2 linked regions of the Caenorhabditis elegans genome follow. The protein of the gene in region 1 purifies or fractionates together with the protein of each later gene. This does not show direct contact. Each region holds a gene or a part of one and is shown on either strand. Other genes may lie near its edges.

What was found.
Region 2: the proteins of W03F11.4 (region 1) and T16G1.4 fractionate together in Caenorhabditis elegans (co-fractionation; one large-scale study listed by BioGRID). This does not show direct contact.

What each region holds. Positions count from the first base shown.
Region 1 is NC_003279.8:2,234,957-2,243,018, forward strand, and holds W03F11.4 (WSN domain-containing protein), read right to left. Parts: upstream 6,297-8,062; 5' UTR 6,174-6,296; intron 6,126-6,173; 5' UTR 6,116-6,125; coding exon 5,986-6,115; intron 5,555-5,985; coding exon 3,151-5,554; intron 3,101-3,150; coding exon 2,916-3,100; intron 2,871-2,915; coding exon 2,693-2,870; intron 2,441-2,692; coding exon 2,323-2,440; intron 2,277-2,322; coding exon 2,090-2,276; intron 2,042-2,089; coding exon 1,882-2,041; intron 1,836-1,881; coding exon 1,609-1,835; intron 1,212-1,608; coding exon 685-1,211; 3' UTR 646-684; downstream 1-645. Other genes in the region: lgc-51 (Ligand-Gated ion Channel), read left to right, coding at 7,274-7,407.
Region 2 is NC_003283.11:12,939,618-12,943,995, reverse strand, and holds T16G1.4 (CHK kinase-like domain-containing protein), read left to right. Parts: upstream 1-2,148; 5' UTR 2,149-2,211; coding exon 2,212-2,364; intron 2,365-2,407; coding exon 2,408-2,806; intron 2,807-2,852; coding exon 2,853-3,102; intron 3,103-3,178; coding exon 3,179-3,282; intron 3,283-3,327; coding exon 3,328-3,489; intron 3,490-3,536; coding exon 3,537-3,611; intron 3,612-3,652; coding exon 3,653-3,784; 3' UTR 3,785-3,855; downstream 3,856-4,378. Other genes in the region: T16G1.3 (CHK kinase-like domain-containing protein), read left to right, coding at 179-559, 611-860, 905-1,008, 1,166-1,327, 1,378-1,452, 1,494-1,631.

The sequences.
Region 1 (8,062 bases):
AATTTTTGGCAAGAAAACAAGTGCCACAATTTCACGCAAAATTTGTATTTTTCAAAATTATTTTCCAAAATTTGAAATAAAAATTGCATCGCGACTGAGCGTGAACTAACTGATAGCTTAAGCTTTTAACTTGCTGTGTAGGCACAAAATACCTGCATGTGTGCCTATACAAGTACCTAGCCAGGCAGGCTAAGATAGGTGCATATGCAGACAGGCAAATAGAATGAGTTGGAGGCAGGCAATCATCAGGCAAGCAGATGGGTAGTCACTTTGTTGAGCATGTTGTCAGGCAGGCGTACATCAGAATTGCCTAGTACGTAGGCGGCAGGCCGTAGATGACCAGATAAATATTATCAGGCCTAAAGTCAGGCCGGTAGGCAGGCAAACATTTAATAGGTGCATCTGGTAGTCATGTGGTAGGCACATAGTGAGGCGTGAGAACGTGCCTGTCTACAATGGAAAATTGTGTTTTCGCTAAATGAGAATCTTGAAGGCATAAGGCAGGCAGTAGGCATGTACACTTTTAAGCTGTAGCCGACAACAAACGAGGCTCATTTCTAATGTCATCTTCGTCCCTCCAGAGATAAGCCGCGAAGTTCAAATTTTGGACAACTGTAGAATCATAGCTTAAAATCTGCAATAAACGGGCTTTCACAAAATACTTTATTTCACATTTCAATAAATTCAGACCATTACAGAAAAACTCTTCTTGTCCTCTTCCTTCACATCCTTCTTTGCTGCACCTCTTCTCTTATCCCCTCTTCTCGGCCTATCCTCCGACTTCGGCTTTTTGGCATTTTCTTTTTGGATCTTTTTCAACTGCTCCTGAAACTTCTGACGTTCCTCGTACTCCTTATTCACATCATTATCCCAAAGTGCCTTATCCTTCTGTTGCTTCTCTCTATAACCCGGATTCTTCTCATCAAACTCTTTGCGCTTCTCCCCCAAATACTCCTCCAAGTTGTTTCCATCCTCCTTAAACTTCTTCTTCTTCGCCGCAAGCAGTTCCGGGTCCTTCTCGTCCTTTTTGAGATAAGGCTCGTAATAGTCCGTCTGGAGTTTGTCGTAATAATAGTGAAGAGCATTGTAGTTGTCCCAGAAGAGTACACCGGCTTTTTCCATCAAGGCTTTTGTGATGCAGAGGAGCATGTAGATCAGTTGCTGCTCAGTTTGAACTGCGCCGTAACGGCAAGCACGAACGGGATCCACAACTGAAAAAGGAAACTACAAACTTCAAACTACAACGAAAATTTAGTCTAGTAGGCAGGCATACAGGCATGAAATAGTAGCAGGCAGGAGAGCAGGTGATAGGTAGGTACGAATGTAGTACTAAGGCCTGCCTATGATGTGCCTACTTTTAAAGTATAACCCATGTACCTGTTAACAAATTTATAGAACATTCCTAGTAGGTCAGCGCGTAGGCCTGCAGGCAAGGGACAGAACGTATAAAAACGTAACTACTTATCAAAAACGATTATGCCATGCCTACAAGCCTGCCTACAATGTGCCTACTACTGAAGAAAATGTCTAATTTTCAGAATTCGAAACAAGCTTGAAGTAGAGGTACAATACTAGCTGAAACTTTTTAAATTTCTCTTTCCGCCTTACCCAATGCCATATCCGATACCTCTTGCTTCGAGCACAACTGAATACCATACTTGATAGCGACAAGTGTTCCTGTACGTCCAACACCAACCGAGCAGTGCACCAGTACGTTTGTCTTGAAACTTTCACAGTATTTGATAATGTCAAGAGCAGTGTGTGGCTCCGCTGGTGCTCCGTGATCAGGCCATCCAGAGAACGCGAGAATCTTGACTGGGAATGGGACTTTCATTCTGCAAATTATAACCTAGTATTTTCAAAGTCTAGGGTACGACTTACAAGACTTTGTTGTTGTGGAACTCGATTGTGTACACCTTGGCCGTCTGCTTATCAGTGAATTGGTCCAAGTTCTCCTCGACAGAAACGGTTTTCACAGTGTATCTGCCAAACTTCATTTCACCTTTGACTTCTGTTGAGTAGTACTCGGCACACTTGTTCTCTGAAAAAATCGTTAATTGAAGAAGGCCGCCTGCCCTGAAGCCCGAACCTCCGTCTTCCTTAAACTGGCACAACTGAGCAACAACTCCCGTTCTGTACTCCTCAATCATTCCCCAAAACTTCTCACGAGTATCCTTCTTCGGAACAATTGGCTTCTTCGACACCTTCTCCCCACTCTTTCTCTTTTCCGCATTCTTCTTCTCTTCTTGAACATGTTCAGTGCCGTCCATTGGACCCTGAATCGTTGAGTTTAACTAGAATTCTACAAAGAAATTAGCTCACCTGTGTCATAATCCATTTGACGCCGTCAATTTCCATCAGATTCGCATTAATAAAACGATCGTTGTTGAAGTCGACAAGTTTTGGCATGGTTTGAGGGTAGCAAATGAACATTTGCTTTCTGGAATAAAAGGATTGGTAAGGGAAGGTAACACCTCCCTGCCTAGGTGCCTTTTTGGGCTTAAACTCTCAAAGTCGCAGTTTAGATTCTCGCATTTTAAATTTTTTGCAAGTTCATTTTTTTAGTAACCAAAAGCTATATTAAACACCTTCATAATTAATTGTCACACCGTTTTGGCTGGAACTCCAAGTCACTTTGTAGGCAAGGTAGGCGGCAGGCAGGCAGGCAGACTCAACGTGAATTCTAACATACCTTCTCTCTGAAACATCCTTCTCCAATAGATTACCCGTTTTCTTCTTACACATTTCATATCCATGCTCAAAATACTCATGGAAAAATTCTCCCGCAGTCCTGTGTAGCTTTCTATCGGCACCGATAGAATTTACGACATTATCCACCATAGCGAATGCCATGTCTGATGTGACCACAACTAAAAAATATTTGAATACACTAAAAAAGCCACAGATTATCTTACCTTCCGGCTCAGGCTTGGGTTCTGGCTGCTCAACAACTTTTGGCTTATCATCATCAATTTTACTTTCTGGCCCCGTTGTCGTGGTAGTTGCTATGCTCACAGTTGGATCCTCCTTTGGTTCCTTTCTCATGCACTTCAAATACAACAGAATCACAAGAATGATCAGAACGACAACAACAGCTCCTCTGCAAAATTTCAAATTAGAAAAGTCAGTTCCCTCCTACCCAAAACTTACATGATAATCCATAGCATACTTCCAGAAGATTCCTCCTCACTAGCTTCTGTTGTTGATGGAGCAATTGATGGAGCATTCTGAGCAGCAGATGGAGCTGGAGTTAGAGAAGCTGCACTTGATGGAGGCTGAGGAGCTGGTGGAGGATTCGGTGGAGGTGGTGGAGGCAGTGTTGACAGAGGTTGAGAATTGGATGCGTACTGGAGGAAGAAGGTATCCAAAGCTTGAAGTGATGCTGGAGCTGATTTGAAGTTGTACTTTGAAAAGTCGAGATCCAACTTGGCAAGAGCATCCAAAGCACTGACGATTGCTCCGAACTTGGTAGGATTCAATGCGGCGACTGCTTTGTGCATTGCTTGAATGTCAAATCCAGTGAGTCCAACAAATTTGGCAGCTTCTTCAAAGATCTTCTTATTGCTTGCAAAACCCACTGTATCCCGCTTTCTTCTGGATCCTTGAGCTCCACCAATTGCAGTAACAAAAGCTTTGACTCCATCAAGTGTCTTTTTCAGAGCATCCCTTAGACCATTCAACTTATTGATTTCCGCGACGTTCTCAGAACTCAGGGCCTTTGCAGCTGCTTCTTGTATCTCAGTGAAGTCCCCTTTCAAAGCATCTAAGGATCCACGAATCTGCATCAATTTGTTGATTTGAGTCAATCCTCTGACAGCCAACGCCAAATCTTTTACAGTGTTCTGAGAATCAGTGAATGAAGTCTTCAGAGCCAATGCTTCTCGTCCATCGGCACTCTTCATAGACTGACCCGACTTTTGAAGAATCTCCAAGTGTTGCCGAGAATCAGAAACTATTTTGCTGATTGTTTTTGCACTGTCCAATGTAGACTTCGAGACGTTTTTAATCTTCTGAATGACATCTAAAGCATTAGATACAACTGGTTCCTTCTCTGTGATGTTGTTCAGGCAGTCAAAGAATTCCGAATCACTCTGGTTAACCGTTCTATAATGTTCATCAATTTCAGGTAAATTGTTTTCAAAAGTCGAAATAAATTTGGAAATGCTACCTATCGACCCAGAAAGAGAAGCAAGATCTGACTGAAGAAGCTTCAGATATTCTTTGGTCTCGTTAAACGTCGGTTCTTCTATCATCTTTTTGATAACCACTCGTCCATCAGCAGCTGAAGCAGGTGTGATACTAAGGATGTTCTTAAATCGAGACATATTTGTCAGAGAGCTGAGATAACTGAACGACGGTAGATTCTTGACTGCTTCATTTAGCTGGTTCATCGAGTTGAAAGCAGCTTCCAAATGATTCAGATTGTTTGCCAGCATTGTTTTTCCCTTATCACACACCAACATAGCATTGATGACTTGTACCGGAACAGTTGAATCCATGACTGAGTTGGCCAAGAAATACTGTAGATTCGTCACTTCTCCAAATGATTTCTTCTTCGGTTCATCCGACATCGGTTTCCACCATTTTTCAGCAAGCCCAAGTGCACTTTTTAAAGTATCAAAATATTGAAAGGCAGTTTTCAGATTTTTAATGACCACCGAACTATTACCAATCCTATCCGCAATCCAATCTTGTTGAAAGACCAGTGACAGTTGTTCCAAATCATTTGAACCACCGGGTAAACCAATCGCGTAAACAAGTGAAAGATCCACTAACTCGGTGTGACTTCTAATCAGCTTTTGGAGTGTTTTGAAGACAGGAAGAGACGACTTGGAGATCAAAACGTACTCGTCAACACTCTTGAAGCTTGCGGTCATTAAGTCTAGTTGACCAAAGTTCACTTTGTTTGCTATTTTCTCCCGGAACGATTGCTCTTTACGGAGCAACTGCACAAACCCTAATTGATCCACTATCTTCTTAGCATTATGTACAACATCTAACTGCGGGAGAAACTTGGCCACTGAGCCCTCGAGATTTTCAAATTTGTTTTTGTAATGCCCAAAAGAACTTGTGAAGCGTAAAATATCACTATCACTTAAATTGTCTTTGGGATTATCTTCAATATCTGAAAAAGCGAGTTCTACAGATTGTGCATATTTTGATAACCCCTTGTAATTAAAATTGATAGTATTCAACTTTTGAACTTCCTCCAAAAGAGCAGTGTACTCTGATGTTCCATTCCAAGTCATGAAGTCATTGATGAAAGATCCCTGCCGGATGGTTTCCAAAACAACTAACCGCTGTTCAATTGCAGTAATTTCAGGAGAAGTTTTGAACTTTGATGGAAGATTCTCCAACTCAGTGATTGCTGTGTCGATGGCTGTTGTGTTCAAGTTGATGACTTCTTGAAGCTTGACTGGTCCCGTGTGAAGGAGCTCAGCAATTGCATCGTCCGAGGGGATGGATCCATCAATCAAACCAATTTCCAACGAGATTCCATTGGCGAGACGAGCAAGTGATTTGAAGTTGGGAAGACTGTCGGATAGTGTCTTGGCTGAAGAAATAATAAATCTAGTTACGGGTATTTATTGCTACCAGTTTCTCTAACATTGTCACGAGAAGCCACGTTTTGTTTTCATGAGCAAACTTCAACAGTTAAAAGTCAAATAGTATTGCGCAATAAAAATAAGATAAATATCATCAAAGGTCATCCAGATTCCACATCAACCAAAACGTGGCAACTCTTTTATTTCTAAGTTATATTTCAATTTCTTCAGCGTGCAACTAGAATTTTAAAAACAACTCCACGAAGTAGATGACGTGGAAGCAAGCAGAAACGTATAGCATTTCAATAGCATTCATTATAAAAAACTAACGAAACTTATAAGGCCTTAAAATCAGTAAGCTCCGCGATCTATCAAGAAAGCGCATAAAAATCCAATAATATTTATTTGAACGCGCTCAATATTAATTACAAGAAATTACCTGAAGCTGCTCGATTAAAGCGGCGAGCAAAACGAGAATCCTTGTTGAATACTGACGAATGTGTAGCTGATGTAGCATTGACAATCAGGAAAATCCATAAAATTGGTATTCCAAATGCAAACAACTGCATTATGATACAGCTGAAACGAGAAATTGTCGATTTCACAACACAAAGAAAAAGAACTTACCTGAGTATTAGTTTTCTATTCAGAAAACTCCAAAGCTGGTACTGATTGAAGTTCAGTTTTGATTTTTGTACAGATTGAAGAGATTGATAAGAAAGTAGGGCAGGACGAAAAGGGCAAGGATGTCACGGAAAATATTTTAATAATGGAAAACCAAGGATTAGTTTTATTTTCCACGTAAATTGTTTGTTTCGAGAAAGTTCCATGGGGAATGCAAAAGTCAAAAGTCATAAACACGTGTGAAATATTTATTCATTGAAATGTTTTAAAGTTTCTGATTTTATTGGAATAAAGTTCATTGAATGAACCGTTCAGATCCATATATTCCAAATTTAACAAAAAATCCCTTTTTTTGAATTTCCCGCCAACGTCGAGCTATCTTGGAGCTGCTGAATCGTTCGATTGCAAATCAGCCAACCTGGATAAATTTTTTACCCATCTAGGAGCTGAACAAGGGATGGGCAGCAAACGATTTTTCTGGGAAATAGGCAAACCGGCAAATTGCCAAAATTAAAAAATTCCAGCAAATCAGCAAACCGGAAAAGTGCCAAAATTACAAAATTCCAGCAAATTGGCAAATCGGCAAAGTATCAAAATTAAAATTTTCAGCAAATTGGCAAACCAGAAAAATGCCGGAATTTAACATTTCCGGCAGATCGGCAAACCAGAAAACTGCCAAAATTGTTTGATTGAACATATCCGGCAAACTGGCAAACCGGCAAATTGCCAAAAGTAAAAAATTCCAGCAAATTTCAAACCGGAAAAATGCCGGAATTGAACATTTCCGGCAAAAAGGCATACCGGCAAGTTGCCGATTTGCCGAACCGCAATTGCCGTAAAATAATATGAGTTGTATAATTCTTGGTCCGTTTTTCAGTGAGTAACTAAACTGGTGGCCGAGTTTCTCTTTTCTGGGCCACTTGCCAAAAACCAACCTGAATACACGATAATAGAATTCAACTTTGATCCCTTCACTTCCGCTTTACATTTTTTTTTCTATATTTTGACACAAGCATATGTAAATTCAATTTCAACGGAGCAAAAGCGGGGGTCCTCCAATTCTTCTCTCTTTTCGTCATAACTTCTTCCTCTCTGACATACGTATGTGCTTATTCCATTTCTTAGCAGTTATTGTTACGACTTTTGCTCAAGATGAAGGCTCATTTGTTGAAAAATGCACAAAACCGAGGCTCACACCGGCTGCGATTTTGGATGTTATTATGGCAAATTATTCAAGGTGAAATTAATTTTTTCATGTCAAATTTTTGACTGGTTTTGGAATAATTGCAAAAAATTGTACAAAGTTGTCAAAAGTTGCCAAAAGTTGCTGGAAAGTTATACAAACTGCGTATAAATGTTGCAAATGTTGCCGAAAGTTTTCGAAAATTACCAAAAAATTGCAAAAAAAAAAATTTTCAAAAGTCGTCGAAAGTTGCCAAAAACTTGTCCACAATCGCCAAAAATTACCAAAACAGTGCCGAAAAATTCCTAATGCTTAAATAGTTTTCGAAATCGCCGGAAAATTGTCAAAAGTTGTCGAAAATTGCCAAAAACTTATCCACAGTTGAAAAAATATTACCAAAACGTACCTGAAAGTGTCGAAAATTGCCAAATAATTCAATAGTTCTTAAAATTGCCAAAAATTGTCAAAAGTTGCCGAAAATCGTCAAAAATTGCCGGAAATTGTTGAAAATTGGTGTGAAATTGCGAAAAAATTGTCAAAAATTGCCGAAAATCACCGAGAATTGCCTAAAGTTTCCGAGAAAATTCCGAAAAAGGCTGAAAGTTGTCAAAAATTGGTGAGAGTTGCCAGAATTCTCCGAGTTTTGGAAAGTTGTTTGAACCTTCTCCAAAATTGCCAAAAAGTTTTGCAAAAGTTGCCAAAAGTTGTC
Region 2 (4,378 bases), on another chromosome or scaffold:
ACAAGATGAACTTCAAAACCTGGATGCTGTTAAAAAGCCAAAACTGGCCCAGATGTCTGGGCCAGCGTTACAATCTTTGAACCAAAATTAGAAAATAAAACATAGCAGGCCCCATATTTAAGTTCGCGACAAATATGGGGCCTGCTATTCAATAGTTTAAATTATTTTTGTTCTCCAGGGTTTCATGAGTCGCGTGATTCTTGTTGAACCCGATTGGACGGTCCACGGTGAACATCTCCCAAATCGTTTTGTTCTTAAAATCACGTCTTGTATGCATGTTCTCAATGTTTTGGATCAAATGAATCTTCAAGATAAAAGTGAATCTGCTTTATGGTCAATTTTTGAATATGAAGCACAAGGTCTGCATAACCGAGAAGTGAATTTATACGAAATTATTGGAAAATGGAATATGGATGATGTACTTATGAGCCCTAAAGTTTTCTTTTCGAAGAAATTTGATTCTGAAAATTTGACGAAAGGATTTTTTGCAATGGAATATGTCGATAATGCAATCACAAGACATCTGTATATAAACTTAAAATCATACGAACTTCATTCGGTAACATATATATGCACATTTATTTTACAATTCGTTAGTGGACTTTTTTAGATATTAAAATCTCTTGCCGTTTTCCAAGCTGAAAGTCTTAAGTTGAACAAAAGAGAGCAAGAAAGTGTTACTGGATATGACTTGGAAAAGATTGTTGGAAAAATGTTTAGCCAGAATGGGCTCAACAGTATTTTTGAACAAGTCCGCCAGATTAACAAGGAAGAACTATCTGAAGCTGCAGATAAAATTGCAGTGTTTGGCGTTGAGCTGGTTAATTTTGATTTGGTGAAGAACTTGAACAATTATTTAGGTCAGCAGAAAATATGTTGATCATGGCGAATAAAAATGTTTTAGGAATCAAGAAAAATGTTTTGGTGCATGGTGATTTGTGGTCAGCTAATATAATGTGGAAAGAGAACAAAGACGAATTCCGTGTCGACAAAATTATTGATTATCAGGTATCTACAATAAATAACTCAATAATAGGTAGCTAGGCGTCGATTCTAACAAAAACTACAATTTTCTCATTCCCAAAACTCTTGTTCAACTGCGAATATTTCAAAACTACTCTGAACCTCAAAATCAAAAACATTGTAACCGTTGAACATCTTCCAGTCGATTCATTTGGGAAATCCAGCCGAAGATCTTGTGCGCCTGTTCATTTCTACACTCTCCGGTTCCGAGAGACAAAAATATTGGGAAAAGCTTCTAGAGCAATTTTACGAATATTTCATAGAAGCTCTTGAAGACAAAAATGTTCCATATACTCTTGAGCAGGTATATTTTAACTGATATTGAAACATTACATTTGATGTTATTTTTTTCAGCTAAAAGAATCATATCGTTTGTACTTTGTGACCGGAAGTCTTCTCATGTTACCGATGTTTGGTCCCATTGCTGAGGTAATTTCAAATTATTTTAAATAGAAATATTTGGTTTCCAGGTTAAACTCGCTGAAATGTCAGATCCAGATGAAGTTAAAAAATACCGAGAGATTTTGACCGAGAAAACAAAACGTCTTCTAAATGACATGGAACATCGGCACTTGTACACTAGAGAAATCATCAAAAAGTGGAAATAGGACGATTTCAAAAATTAATTCTTTGAATACGCTTGTTTGCAAAGTTTACACGTGATGTGTTATCACCAGTTCGCAGTTTAATAAATCTAGAAATACCGAATGTTGAGCATAAAAAATGTGTACCTTATCTATTGTGCAGGTGTGGTAAGTTCATGTGATACATGGCCTTCTGACATTGAAAAAAAAATTGAGATATTCATTAAGTACAGTTTCATAAATTAAATCTAATTAAAACGACGTTCTTGAGCTTGAACGGTTTGAAAACATAAAAAAAAACCTTTAAAAATTATAAAAAATAGATGTTTATTGAAAGTTAAAATTTTAAAGTCAAATGGTAGTTTATTACTAAAAAAATAATTATACAAAAGCTCAATAAGACTATCGGGGATGTCATTTAATTAAAGAATGCGGTGGTATGCTTACAATTAGGAAATACTTTTTCAACTTGTGACTTGAATTCAGCGTATGAACCGAATGGTATGATAACGTTGATAGCAGAGACCACACTGAACTCATCATTGGTATAAAAAGCAACTGCTTCTTGTCTCTTAAATTTACTTTCTTCCTGCGACTAAGAAGAATGAGTGAATCTAAAACTCTTATCCAAAATGGAGATGGTTTATTTCAAACCCATGTTCAGCTGGAAGATGTTCAAGAATTGATTAGAGATCAAATGAATACTGAAGCAAGACTTGGAGAGAAGACAAAATATACTGTTGTTGGAGATGGAAATGTAAGTTCAAACTATTAAAATATTCACAAGACGTTTATTTCAGGGATTTATGAGTCGTGTGATTTTGGTTGAGCCTGAGTGGACTATCACAGATGAGAATCTCCCGAAGAAATTTATTCTGAAAATCACATCATGTCTCCATGTCGTTGGTCTTCTTGAAAAACTAAAAGAAAGCGAACAGAACGTGATAAATGATGCAAATGAAGCTGATTTGATGGCCCTATTTGAGAATGAATCACGACTTTTTCATAACAGAGAAGTTAATTTGTATAAAATTACGAAGAAATGGAATAAGAATGATGAGTTGTTAAGTCCAAAGATTTATTTTTACAAAAAGTTTGATTCTGAGAACCAAACAAAAGGAATATTGGGCATGGAAGCTGTTGATGATGTAACTGTAAGACATCTCTATTACAATGTAAAACCATTTGAGCTGCACTCTGTAAGTTTTAAATCAGATTATCAAGTAAAACTCAATTTATTTACAGGTATTAAAATCGATTGCCAGACTTCAAGCGGAAAGTCTTCATTTGACTGATCAGGAAAAACAAAGTATTGCTGGATTTGATTTGAAGAAGATGTCAAACACAATATTCAGTGAAGAAGGCATGCAAAATAATTTTAAGCAGACTCGTGAAATCAATCCGGAACGATTAAAAGAAAGCGTCGACAAAGTTGAGATTTATGGAACTGAGCTCGTAGATTTGGATAAAGCTATTAACCTAAACAGTTACATTGGTGAGTTTTCTTTCACAAATTTGGATATATTTTACCTATCAGTGAAAACTATTGAGAGATAAGATCTTTATGTCAGGTATCGAACGTGATGTCTTGGTGCACGGAGATCTGTGGTCAGCGAATATTCTATGGGAAGAGAATGAGGGAAAATTTTTAGTAAGCAAAGTTATAGATTACCAGGTAAGTCCCCAAAAAGTTGTGTTTTTTATCTCTGTAATATTGCAGCTCATTCACATGGGAAACCCAGCTGAAGATTTGGTAAGACTTCTTCTTTGTACACTTTCTGGAGCAGATCGTCAAGCACACTGGGAAAGGCTTTTGGAGCAATTCTACGAGTATTTCTTGGAAGCTCTTCAGGACAACGAGACGCCATATTCACTGGAGCAAGTAAATGTTTTGTAGTTCATGGTATTTGAACAATGTTCTAGTTTTAGTTAAAAGAATCCTACCGTCAATATTTTGTTACTGCTGGTCTCTTTATGTTGCCCATGTTTGGACCGATTGCACAGGTATTGTCTGTAACGTATATGAGAAAGTTAATTGATTTCAGATGAAACTTTCTTATTCATCCGACAACGAACACGCAGAAGAGTATCGTGAAGTTCTCACAGAAAAAGCTGAACGGCTAATGGAAGATTTGGAACGTTGGCACTTGCACAGTAAAAACTTTAAGCAAATCTAAAATAGAAGTGTAAATGAAATTTCTATGTAAATATTATATAAGTTGAGCCAAATAAACCGTTTGTTGTAAATAATATTTACAAGATATACAGATGTATAAAAAATAATAATGGCAGGTAAATTTACAAACCAAAAACGAATAGTTGTATTAATAAGTTCCAATAAGGCGCAATAAATATTCTAGCTATTAACACTCCGGCAGTATTATTTTAAATATCTATTTTTCTTTAGACATAGCCTAAATCAAATAATTCGCCTCAAATATCCAAATATCAATTAGTTACACAAAAGATAGAAAACTTATTTGACCAAATAGCGTTGTTTTTAGAAATAGAAAAAAAATAATAATGTTTTGTAAATCCACATCTAACTCAGATAAAATTTAGTTAACTTCCCCGAAAACTTTATTGCACATTATAGGGGTCCAATATTCAATAAATTTAGAAAAACAACTATTTTAATAAACTGTACCAAAGTTCATAGCAATGCATTGAAAATCAAGGGAAAAATATAAAATAACGGAAAAAAGTAAACTCTAGTATTGCACAACTTTTTGTAATTTCACATAATGTGGTTTGTGTTGACGATCAATCGT